Linked DNA regions of Drosophila melanogaster. The protein of the gene in region 2 purifies or fractionates together with the protein of the main gene of each other region. This does not show direct contact. Each region holds a gene or a part of one and is shown on either strand. Other genes may lie near its edges.

What was found. The genes of interacting proteins can lie anywhere in the genome.
Region 1: the proteins of AhcyL1 (region 2) and grsm purify together in Drosophila melanogaster (affinity purification with mass spectrometry, with the first as the bait; one large-scale study listed by BioGRID). This does not show direct contact.

Annotation. Positions count from the first base shown.
Region 1 is NT_033777.3:12,964,713-12,969,655, reverse strand, and holds the start of grsm (granny smith), read left to right. Parts: upstream 1-1,943; 5' UTR 1,944-2,055; coding exon 2,056-2,202; intron 2,203-2,277; coding exon 2,278-2,496; intron 2,497-2,907; exon of another isoform or gene 2,908-3,053; coding exon of another isoform or gene 3,054-3,103; intron 3,104-3,179; coding exon of another isoform or gene 3,180-3,627; exon of another isoform or gene 3,628-3,718; intron 3,719-3,732; exon of another isoform or gene 3,733-3,883; coding exon of another isoform or gene 3,884-4,213; intron 4,214-4,279; coding exon of another isoform or gene 4,280-4,943. Other genes in the region: CG7381 (uncharacterized protein), read left to right, coding at 1-25, 116-235, 306-425, 489-893, 963-1,094, 1,159-1,311, 1,373-1,473; CG14384 (uncharacterized protein), read left to right, coding at 3,054-3,103, 3,180-3,627; Cyp304a1 (cytochrome P450 304a1), read right to left, coding at 3,884-4,213, 4,280-4,943.
Region 2 is NT_037436.4:2,766,917-2,774,799, forward strand, and holds AhcyL1 (adenosylhomocysteinase like 1), read right to left. Parts: upstream 5,410-7,883; 5' UTR 4,874-5,409; coding exon 4,352-4,873; intron 3,576-4,351; coding exon 3,126-3,575; intron 3,062-3,125; coding exon 2,468-3,061; 3' UTR 1,550-2,467; downstream 1-1,549. Other genes in the region: Non2 (putative nucleolar protein 2), read left to right, coding at 352-1,086; CG12093 (uncharacterized protein), read right to left, coding at 5,692-6,130, 6,189-6,388, 6,483-6,986; Atg2 (Autophagy-related 2), read left to right, coding at 7,777-7,883. UniProt on the Drosophila melanogaster protein: Might play a role in the regulation of methionine metabolism possibly by binding and inactivating Ahcy.

The DNA.
Region 1 (4,943 bases), on a different chromosome or scaffold from region 2:
GACGACGATGCCGATGAGAAGAAGTGTGAGTATCCAAGAATGCCCCCAAAAAAATGAAGTCTCTCAATGCTTAGGCAATCTTAAATATATTTCAACTATTTTTTTTCCCATTTAGATGGCAGCAGCTGCACGGATAATGGAAAGACATGCTCGGGTCTGCCGCACTCGATTTGTTCCAAGAATATTTGCCTATGTCGCCAGGGTTACTATGCCCGCAATGGAAAATGTTTTGCCGGTGAGTAAACTGGGTTTCCCCCAATTTAATTCTTCTATTAATGAAATTAACTGAAATGAAAATTCTTTAGAACTGGGGGAAATTGCGGAGAGCACGGATGAGTGCGAGTACGAGTTCGATCAGTTGACCAAAACTTGCAATTGCCAAAAGAATTATTTCTACGAGCGGGATCTGCGCAATTGCAGAAAACGTAGGTGGTTCCAACGCTAGCTGCTGAATCGCACTTAAGATATATCCTTTTCCATCAAAACAGCCATTCAATACCACTTATCCTGCACCTCGAACAGCCAATGCAGTCCATTTGGCGCCTCCTATTGCCACCCGGAGATTCCGAGGAGGTGCACCTGCGAGGAGTACGCTCTCTACGATGCCATCAAGCAGCTCTGCGAATACAAACGTGGCCTGGGAGCCGAGTGTGAGTCGAACGATGGCTGTCCTGTGGATCACTCCGTCTGCTCCAATCGCGTGTGCGTTTGTGCGGACAACTACTTTGAGAAGGACGATCAGTGTATGCGTGGCATCGGTGCCGACTGCTCGGTGGAGGATGACTGCATACCTGAGAACACCGAATGCCAGGAGAAGGACGAGGAGGATCAGTCGCGCACCTGCCAGTGCCGAAAGGGATACGTGCACTTTAAGGATGAGTGCCTAAAAGAGGGTTAGTACTCAGAAGCTGAAATGCAAAGCAGCAAAATTATGCCCTGCCCCACATTACATTTCATTATAGCCGAGGAGCTGGAGGACGAGTGCGTCGAGGATGAGCAGTGCAAGCCGCTCCTGGCGAGCTGCAATTCGGAGGGCAAGTGTGGATGCAACGATGAGCAGCATGCTAAGAACGGAGTCTGTGAGACGAAGCGAGGTAATTGAGTCGCTAAGCTTTCTTTAATTATTTGTAATAATTCTAATATGTTGCAATCTTGCAGAGCTGGGAGAGTCGTGCACCAAGGCCACCGAGTGCTATGTAGAAAAGGATCCCGAGAATGTCGAGTGCCGCAACTCCGTGTGCCAGTGCAAGCTGGGCTACTCGGCGAACGCCAATCAGAATCAATGCATTCGCGTGATGCCCAATAAGAAAAGTAAGTGTCCTTGCAAAACCAATTGAGTAAGGATGATCTATGAATGTCACGCTTTTCGCAGATTCTTCCGGTAGACCAAGTGCTCTCAAAATCATCACCTTCATGCTGATTGGCTCCGCTTTCCTTATCACCAGTGCGGCCATAAAGCAGGCCTACTACTAGAACCAAACCAAAACCTAAATCCTTTCACCTGCGTGTTTGGGGAATGGCGAGGATAATCGAGGGAGGAGTTGGCCAAGGACCTTGGGGGGATCGGGGTGATTTGGGGATCGGCGGGAGTGGCCAGTATTAGCCAAGTTACTGGCATGGATGCAGGTCCATGCGCAACGTGAATATAAATCAATTAGTTCGTAAGTTGATATTTAGGAGTCGAAGCAATATAAATTTGGAGAAAGGGTCCTCGGAACGGAACGACTCTCGCTTATCTAATACGGCTAAGTGTAATGACAAATTATCTGTAAGTTTTGAAGTTAAACCGCTTGTTGCTAGGCTAAGCGAACAGTTTTTAACCAAATTGTAATATATACATCATAATAAACTAAGGCCAACGAAGAGTTGTGTATCAAATCCAGAAACTGGCAATTATTATTAAACAAGTAGTTTTGAGATTTCACTTCTATCAGTTAGCAACAGCAACTCAACTCAAATTTGTACCTTTCAATTTTTCAAGCTCGAATGTTTTGTACGTAATTCTTAGTTTAGCATCCTAAATTTCAGTACGTTAGTTGAAAAGTATAAGTAGAGATGGCACCGTATCCAAACGGCTTTTTAAGTTACGCGGTGGCTATACATCTTAAATCCCCGCACCTCCAAATGGAGGAGTCACTGCGTCAGGGAGCGGGGTACTGGAATGCATTGAGTTCGCGAGAAAAGAATCAGTATCGATCGAAAGTAAGTTCCTAGGGATTACACACTTTCCCCCTGACCGGCGAACTTTATCTTCTGCCCTTCGTTAATACCCTGCAGTACCAGAAACGGTGTCTCAGCAAAAGCTCCACTTCGCGTCATCGGCGTCAATCGGAGAAACTCAAACATATGGGATGCGGCCGCAAGAAAATAGTGCCCAAGTGTTCCCGAAAGCCCACGACTCCGGCCTGCAAGCCAAGGAGCGTCAATAGGTGTCCCCGGAAAAGCAGCTCCAACCGCTCGAGTCGTGAATGCATGCTGATGAAGTCACCAAAAGGCGTAAGTGCCAGTAGTTTAAATAATATTAACATTTATTTTATTATTTATAAAAGTTACTTTTAAGTAAGATATATTTTCATGTGTATGTCAACTTCACTTGTTTTGATAGTGAATTTTAAACACTGGGTTCATAGCGAACAAGTTGTCGTTTTCGTAACCAAACAATTATCACCTTGTTTTCAACTCTATTTTCTATTTTTTTTGTTGCCACTCAATTGTCTTAATATTGATAAGGGCATTTTGGTCAAAGTGTTTGCACATTATCTTGCAGTTTGCTATTTTATTTTTGTTATCAGCTCGGCTAGTAAAACAATCTGCAGTAATTTGACTGTATCTTTTGATTTATATTCGATTTGCGACCCATTTAAAATGGAGATTAAAATCTAGGGACCTTGAATTTCTGTATTTCAGAAGCTCATATTTGCATTCGAATCGAAGAGAACAGTAAAACAGTGTCAAATATTTCTGGGTGAACTTTCCGAGTACAAATAGGTCAAAGTTGATTTTGTCGTAAGACAATTGCTAAACTGAACTGCCTATAAATTTCAAGTCTCAAAATGTCCCTCAATTGCCCGGTTCATAATAAGAACTCCAGTGGCTTAAACATGTAAGTTTCGGCCAAGAGATCGCTTTCGATATCCGGCGTATGTGTTCCTTGTGGTAACAATGTGGTTTGCATACAGTACCAGGTCCGCAACCTCGGATGACGTCAAGATCGCCATGTGCGCCTGCTTGGAATTGGCCAACTGTCGGGCCGAAAACTGTCAGCTGAAGAAGAAACTGACCGAATATGAGGCCAAGATCTGCAGTCTCGAACAACTGGTGGCCACCATTGCGGAGGAGCAGAACCAGATTCGCCAAGAAGTGATCGAGTTGCGCAATGAGACTCAGGGTGCAACGATGGAAGCCGCCAACGAGGTGGATCCTTTGGACAACTCATTCGTGAACCCGCAAGAGGAAATGGACGATGAGGAAGGATACGATCCGGATTCAGAATCCGAGTACAATGCTATCCAGTCCCCCAATCCCTCAATACATTCTTCGATGGTCTCGCTGGTTCGCTCATTGAGTTTTTCATCCACCAGCTCAGATTCTGATTGCATTGTATACAGCGATAATGAGGATTTCTAAGAAACCCATCTCATTCCAATCGCATCTTCTCAACAAGTTCCGTTCGCGAACTTTGATACCACACGATATGAGTAAACGACAATGTTAAAATAAATAGTTCGTTGTGGTGCATCACATAATAGTATTGGGCAATTCTAGAATATTTTTGAAATGTGACGGAATAAAATTCCTCAAAAAATATCCAAGCAAACTAGCTAACGTAATCAGTAAAATTACTTTGTCTTAAAAATAGATAACTCTAATATCTTGGCTACTTTCAATGCCGATCCTGTAGTTGCAGCCAGAAATCTGGTGGCGAAATAATCAGTCCATTGAGGTTCTGGGAGAGATCGGGCAACCGATCATTGGGGCCCAGGACGAAGTCAAAGTGCTGGCACATGGTCGCTGTCACCAGGAAGAGCATGTTGCGCGCAAATGTCTCGCCGGCACAGAGCCGTTTTCCCGCTCCAAAGGGCAGCGAGACATCCAGTTTCAGGCAGAGCTTGCCATCCGCGTCCAGGAATCTCTCCGGCCGGAACTGCTCCGGATCCGACCAAATACGGGCGTCCGAGTGGAAGGCATACAGGCTGGGCACGACAATGGTGTCCTGTACGGGTATATAGGGGAAAATAGTTTGGTTTTTAAAATTAAATAGATAGGAAACTTTTCTAACCTTGGGTATCCGGTAGCCCAGCAATTCGGTGTCCTCCAGCGCCTTGTGCGGGACATCCGAGGGAACCAGCGTCTCGATGCGCAGACCTTCGCGAATGGTGGCCTCCGTGAAGGGCAAGTTCTTGCGATCCTCCAGGTTGGGCAATCGTCCGCATCCCACCACCTCGTCGATCTCGTTCTGAACCCGCCGCAGAACTGCCGGATATAGCATGAGATACTGGACGAGTAGCGATAGCTGCACTCCGATGGCAGTGAAGGCCGGAAAGGAGAAGTCCACCAGGCCCATGATCAATTGATCCCGATTGAAACCGTAGCCCGGACCTCGGCGCATTTCAGCTATGTAGACATCCATGAAGTTGCGCTCCACACCCTCTTCGTAGCTGTCCAAATACTTATCCACAAAGTCGGCAAAGAACTGCCGCACGAATAGGTTGGACTCGTTTAGCTTGTTGTAGCCACTCCATTCGGGCCAAATGTGCCGAATCCACGGTATAATGCTCAACATTTTGCCGTAGTCGTCCGCATTCCGCTGGAACTGTATGCCCATCTGGCAGAGCTTCACCAATTTGCCCATTTCCTCGCGACTCAGGCACTCATTGTAGACAATGTAAAAGTGAGCGTTGGCCGAGAAGGGATTAAAGAGCAGCGGCAGAAGCACGCGATAT
Region 2 (7,883 bases):
CTTAATGTTGTCGAAATCAGTTGTAAAGTAAACTTCCACATACCTGTCATCTAGCTAGATTCGACAGCACTGCCGCATTAATCGAAACCGATAGGAGCTCTCATCAAGTAGCAACCCTATAGAGACGCCGGGACTTGGTGTAAAGAAAAAACGAAAAAGATTTGTCTTTTTAAGCGCCGCAAAGAATCCGGAAAAACGTGAATATACCACCGAAAACGGATCTCCGGTAAGTTGAAAATGACTGGGATTAGGTTGTGCGTACAATGGAATAACTGAAAATGCCCACAATGTGACCCGCAGGCTGAAACCCCTACGTGTAGCGCAGGAAAACGAGGAACACCACGAACCAAGATGTCGGACATCTCCAGCGAGGACCTGCGTCGTGAAATTCAGGCGGTTCTGAAGGACGCCGATTTGGCGACCATTTCGGCAAAGAGGGTGCGCGAGCAGGTGGAGGGAAAGCTGAACTGCTCGTTGCTGAGCCGCAAGAAGGAGTTCGACAAGATCGTGATGGAGGTGATCAACGAGCAGCAGGACGAGGAGGACGAAGACGATGACGAGGGCAAGGATCCCGATGCCGATCCCGACGATGAGAGCGAGCCCAGCGAGGAGGAGGACCCCAGCAGCAGCGAGGAGGAGGCCGCCAAGAAGAAGAAGCAGAGCCCCAAGAAGAGGCCACAGCCCACGAAGCACAAGGCGCCCAAGAAGAAGCGCAAGACCCTAAATGCCGACGATTCCGGCACCGAGAGCGATGCCGGCTCGGACTCGGACTACGAGGTGGTCAAGAAGCCGGCGGCCAAGAAGAAGGCCAAGGCGGCCGGGGGAACAGGATCGGGACGTAAGAGCACCGGCTTCACACGCGCATACAATCTATCACCGGAACTGAGCGCCCTCATGGGAGAGTCCTCCCTGCCGCGCCACGAAGTCGTGAAGAAGGTGTGGGCCATCATCAAGGAGCGCGATTTGTACGACCCCAAGAACAAGCAGTTCGCCATTTGCGACGACGAGCTGATGAAGGTGATGAAGATCCGCCGCTTCCGCACCTTTGGCATGCTGAAGCATCTCAAGCCGCACTTTCTCGATTAGATCAGATCCGCCCTCCGATCCTCTCCAGATGCAAATATATGTGTATGCCTCTCCGCCAGCCTGGTTTACCAATCCCCTGTAACTTTCGGCTCCGCCTGGATTTGTTTGTTCCACAACCTTTGATTAAGATTTAGTTGACGCATGTGTTTAGCATTACCCTAATTAGGACGGGTTTGCACATTATGCACTTTACGGCATTTTAGGAATAGTTCAGATGAACGGAAAATTACAAAAAAAAAATCGATTATAATACATAATGTGTATGATTTTTTTTATGACAAACTCGTGTAGTTTACATTTTATAAAATATCAAAGAAAAACATAACAAGTTTAAGGCAAGTACCGAGTAATAAAAAGAGAAATAGACGAGTGATGCATCTGAAAAATACGAAAGCAACTTTTCCTGGTTTTCATTTCGACGGGGCTGCTGGGGGAGAAATCAATCAGTGGAACAGATCTAATTGCTCAATAAAGAATCCCTTTTTTATTGTTTTGCGTTTCTCACAAATTTCTTACAAACATTTTTCACTTTTTCTAATATACATATTAGGTGTATATGCAGTGTATATATATATATAATTCTCGATCTGATATATATGCCAGCGTGTATATAATTGAATAAATGGAATACCTTGCACTGCTGTTCCATTAACGCTCTCGGGACGAAACGAAAGTACAAAAGTATAATCATAATCATAAGCGGGGGCCATAAACATTAACAAATTAAGTACGTAAACAATACGAGAGGTTAAATCGATCACTTATTGCCCAGCTGTCGTAGCTCAAAAAAGGGATTAGTCAGGAAAGTCGTTAACATTAAAATGTACATGGATTTCACGCGAAAAAGTTATAGAAATGTAATGCAAATATGCTAGAAACCATTATACAAGTCAATTCCCATTAAATATATTATCAATTCCGAATTAGAAGTATACATTTAGAGAACTAATCGCGTCTTTTGAGCTACTGCAGTCTGATTGACAGGCGTTCGAAGTATTTAAAATAAATTCAAGTAACTGGCTACAAAAAATGTTGATGGGGATAAATTCTTGGGGCAAGATTAGTTTTGGGGATTAGAGAGTCATGTTGGATAGGTGAACGGAGAGAATACTCCTGCGGCTAAAGCGAGTGCTAAATACTATGTCGAAGACTTTAAATGCTAACGAAAAGCAACCAAGAATTCCGCTCGAGCTAAACTAAGCAATACAATGGTAATAGTAACTTTGTGTTCTCCTTTCCGTATCCTTTTGTGTTTTCCGTGTGTGTGTGTGTCAACAATTGTTTTAAATAGTTTTACTTCTTCGCAAAGACAATACTTTCGTTGGCGTTGTTGTTTCTTCTAATTGCTGGTGTTATTGTCCGCATCCGCCCGCCTTGCGTCCTAGTAGCGGTAGTAGTTGGGCTTGAAAGGACCGGCCTTGTTCAGTCCCATGTACTTGGCCTGCTCGTCGCTCAGCTCCGTCAAATGGGCATCGAAGGTGGGCAGGTGCAGGCTGGCAACATACTCGTCCATCTTCTTGGGCAGCAAGTAGACATCCGACTTGTAGCGTCCGGGCGGGGCATTGAAAAGCTCGATCAGGGCCAGGGCCTGGGTGGCCGAGGTGATAGACACGGCGAACGAGGGGATGCTGGAGCAGCTCAGATTGACCAGCCTGCCCTCGGCCAGAAGAATGATGTACTTGCCCTCCGGCCAGATAATGTGATCCACCTGGGAGCGCACCTTCTCCCAGGTCAAGTCCGGTGTGCGCAGGCCATTCACATCGATTTCCGTGTTCGAGTGGCCCATGTTGCATACGATGCAGCCACTCTTCATCTTGTCCATGTGCTCGCGCACCACCACGTTCTTGTTGCCGGTCGCCGTCACCACAATGTCTACGTTGCGGATCACCTCGTTCAGCTTGACCACACGGAAGCCATCCATACTGGCCTGCAGGGCGCAAATGGGATCGATCTCTGTGATGTACACAATGCAGCCCTACGATTGGAGATTGAAAAGGTGACAAAGGTATATCATACTAATGGTTGTGGGTGCCATTTACCTGCCCCTTTAGAGCCTGAGCACATCCCTTGCCCACATCGCCGTAGCCACAGACCACGACCTGCTTGCCACCGAACATCACGTCCGTGGAGCGCTTGAGGCTGTCCAGGATGGATTCCTTGCAGCTGTAGAGGTTGTCAAATTTGGTCTTTGTCACCGAATCGTTGACATTCATCGCCGGCACTGTCAGCTTGCCGGCCTTAGAGAGCTGATAGAGACGGTGCACTCCGGTGACGCTCTCCTCGACGATTCCCTTGACCAACTTGAACATGGTCGGGTACTTTTTTAGCATCAAGTGCGTGGCATCGCCGCCATCGTCCAGGATCATGTTTGGCTGCCAGTTCTCGGCGTTAACGCAGCGATCTATGCACCACCAGAAGTCCTCTTCCGTCTCGCCGCGCCAGGCAAAGATCGGGATTCCGGATTCGGCCAAAGCAGCAGCCACTTCGTTCTAAAAATAATAAGCAACGATATTGAGTTGTTTTAATAATGACAGTCCTTGAAGGCTAATAAAATGATTGTCAAACAGGTAAAACCCTCGAGAGTTGGCCTGATAAATCGAGTCACCCTAATGCGGCGTAAACATTTGCTAATATCTGACTTATATCGAGCTGATAACGCATCGGGCTCCATTCTCGCTAAGCACGGCACTCGTAGCTTGGCTGATAAGTCCCAGCCGATACAGGTGAATCAGCGTGACAGGCTGTCGGGGGCCGTGGGCGATAAAAGCTGGCACGGATGGGTGCATAAATGATCGGGGAAGGGCGCTCGCCCTCGCACTCGCATCGCTTCATTAGAGAAGCCATAAATTGTTTAGCGTCAGCAGACTCGTGATAATTGCATCAGCCACGCCGCAGGAATAGGCAAACAGATCGAGTAACCGCAGCCGATCCAATGCTGGAACTAAAACTGCGTCCGTAACTTCCACTCCCAATGGTATGGCGACCCAATTCAGGGCACATCAATTACTCAGCGATTGCCAAACACTTGAGCCGCGGGCGCTTAATTGATTAACATGGCTTGATTGATCATTTGTTTGCGTCGCCTGGCGTGACAACAATTGTCTCCAAGCGACCGAGCAGATCAAGTGACCGAGCACGCATATGCATATGAATTTAAATAAATATAGGAAAATGAGTTAAGATATCTCTTAAGAGATTCCATTAAATGCATTAAGCAGCCTATGAATACGTAAGAACCCTATGACATTTTCATACGACATCTCACCTGCGTGGAGTAGATGTTGCAGGCGGCCCAGCGCACGCTGGCGCCCAGTTCCACCAGCGTCTCGATGAGCACGGCAGTCTGGGCGTTGATGTGTGTGCAACCCACGATCTTGGCATCCTTCAGAGGCTTGTCCTCGGCCGCCCGCTTCTTCAGCGCTATGATGCCCGGCATCTCCTGCTCCGCAATCTCGATCTCCCTGCGCCCAAATGCATGCTGGGCGCCTATGTTCCTTACACAGAAATCGGAGCTGCCTTTGGAGTTCTTTTGGACCTTCTCCCTGGGCGGCACGTCGTCGCCATCCTCGCTGCTGCCCGTGTAGCTGGCGGAGCTGAAGGAATCCGTTGAGGAGGCACTAAGCGAGCGGCTCCTGTACCGACTTGTCTTCTTCAGAGCCGAGGACTGCTTGGTGGCCGGCGGAGGAACCACCACGCTGGCATCCTGCGGCGCCGGTCCAGCCTGCTGCTGCTTGTCGCCGCCTCCGAATCCAGGATCAACTACCACAGTGTCTGCCAGGTTGTTCATGGTGGAAGTAGAGGGTAATCTGGGGATTTCCTTACTATCCCTTAAATTGGCTCCTTGCTCTAGCTCCTAGTGTTCCACCTTCTGCGACTCCAGAGCTTGCAATCCTTTTCCGCTGCTCCTTTGAATGGGCGCCTTGGATGTTATGTAAAGTCTGAAATCCAAGCAGGATGCGCTGCAAATGGCTAGTGGTGTGGCCTGGGTCTATACGAACTGCACAATCACGTGATTTATCGACGTTGTGGAGACCACAAATTGCTAAATTAATTGTTTTTAGTGCGAGTCTCCTTTGTTTCACCTCTCCACTATTGTTTTTGTTCTTCTTCTTCTTTTGCGAATGGGGGGCTACACTTTGGATCCGGGGCTTGATGGGAGTTTCCGGAGAGGGGATGATGATGCAGCCGTCGGCTTTCGGGCGACGTTGTTTGTGTGGCGACCAAGTGGGGGATCGTTTGGCGATCGCTTATTGAATTTGATTTTATCCGGAGAAAAGAGAACTAAACCGAACCGAGGACAGTAAGCGAGACACGCGAAAATACCAAAAGCAGAAGGCGTTAGTGCTATTCTGCAAGTGTGGTAAGTTCCCACTGAAGAAAGGCCAAAGTAACGACTTTTTAACTGAAATCGTCTAAAAATTAATTTTTATAATTTCTTACCATTAATTATGTGTTTATTTTTTAATGAGCAAAGTAAATAAAGTGTGATTTACAACTCCTCAGCTGCAAGTCTTTTAAATCTGGTAGCTGGATAATTTAATGAGTCAAAAAGAAATTGGCAAAGTATTCGAGGTTTATTAAAAACAAATAGTTAACACATTTGGCCTACATATCCTCCTGTAGGTAGCCGCACAGCTCGTAGTCGTCCGCCGTGTTGACCAAGTGCGCTTCCCTAAGAAGGCCCTCCTTGTAGGTCTGTCTCTTGACAATCAAACGCGACAATTCCTCCGGTGCAAGTGGTCCTTGCTTGGCGTGTTTCTGGATGAAGTCCGCCGCCAGTTGTCGATCCACGACGGACATCTCGAGGCTGCGACTCCAGGCGAGCAGGGCCAGCGGTCGCTGCGGACTCAGAGCCAGCGAGGGTGACACCAGATGGCGATACAGACAGCCACCCACGATGTCTTGCAGCTGCTTCACTTGGCCGGGAAAAGCGCAGGGATGGTAGAGCATTACGATGGCACCTTCCGCCAGATTACGCACGTATCGCTGAGGAGGCAAGTAGGAATAGGTGCCATATTCAGCGGGCATCGGGCGATAGGGGCCACTGATAATACAGATTTGAATTTGAAATTAGCAGGAAACTATAATATTGTTCGCCTTACTTGGTGGCAGGCAGATGGGAGTAGCTAATGGACTCATTAAGGCACTTGGCAGGCGGCAGATAGGCGCTAGGTAGAAAGTGCTCCGTAAGAATGGCTTCTCTGGACAAATCCGGTTGGTACAAGCTGTGATTACTACTGATGCATAGGAAATTCAGGCTGTCACGGATGTCGTTTGGATCGAAGTCCACGGCAAGATTGCTCTGAAAATTGTTAATAACAATGATAGAAAAAGATGACTAATACTAAGCATTCATCGGTATTTAGGGGAAGTATTAGTTATATTGCCAAACTCACCTTGCCATCATCACAGCTGCTTTGTTTAGTCTTGTGCGATTCATTGGGACCCTGCGGAAACAATTTACCCTGCCAAGTATCCTGTGTGGTGGACTTCCCCGACTTGGTTTTGTTATCGACCAGCGGTTTTTTCTTCACCAAGTGCGGCTCTCCGGGAGCTTGTGGAAACCACTTGCCCTGCCAGCCATCCTTGGTTGTGAACTCCAGCGGAGGAACTTCCTCCGTGGTGCTCTTCATTTTTAATTCAATCGCTTCCTGCTGTTGTCCAGGGGCATGGGGAAACCACTTGCCCTGCCAGCCATTCTTGCCGGGCGTCGCACCTAATGGAACCTGCACACGTTGCACATCATTGGAAATGTCGGGTGGGGACTTCCCAATCTTCCCTAGCTTCTCATCAGGATCAAGAGTTGGCTCCAACAGATTGGCCTGCGACTTCTTGATGGATTTCGCATCGATGAGGGCGAACCCAAGGCACAAGAGGGTCAAGTAATGCCAAATAAACATAATAATTGCAAGCAAAAGAAAAACAAAAGCGCAAAATAAGCAAACAAAAATATAATTAAGAACTTGGCAAAACAGCTGTGGAGCTGCGTTTTTCAACACTGGTCAAAGCATGACTTTGTTGCAGGGTAGCAACAGGTTGTTTGGAGTTTGCATAAATCTCCGATGATAATTATGTGTTGTTTTAATAACTAAATTAAAATTATTTACGCCAAATTAAAGTAAATAAAGTTAATTTAAAATGACTACTTAAATCAAGCAGATTTAAAAGGAAATCAATGTATATTTGAAATATTCAGACTGGATTCTAAGGTTAAATGACAAATTACTCACCAGAAATCGGCTCATAATAATAAATCATTTTATTTTCAAATGCCCCCTGCGAACGCTCCCCCGCATTGCACACACCAGGGGGTATTTTACGAAGTGCCCACACCTGGCCACACTGGTCGCAGCTACAAAAAGAAGAAGAACAAGGGCCAACTTGATGGTCACTTGCTACTGCGCTTTATTAATTCATTATTTTCCAAAATAATGCACATATATACCCGCCCACAGCCGCTCTGCGCCCCCGCTAATCGAAAAATGTGAGTGGTAAGCGTTTTTACCAGAGTCTTATCAACAATTTAAGCCTCAATTCCCTTCCGTTTCCGTGATTCGCCACCCAGAAAACAATAACAAAGGGGTGTTGTTGTTGCTGTCGCTGCTGCTGCGCTGGAAAAACAACTCGCATAAAATTTTAAAACGCACAAAGAAGGCGAACGTGGAAAGTTAGGCCAACAACCCAGTCGCGATGTCGTGGTTCAATCCCTGGGATGGCCTCAAAACGAAAATGTGTCGCTACCTGCTGCAGCGATACCTGGGCCAGTTTTTCGAGAATAACTTGAACCTGGAGCAGCT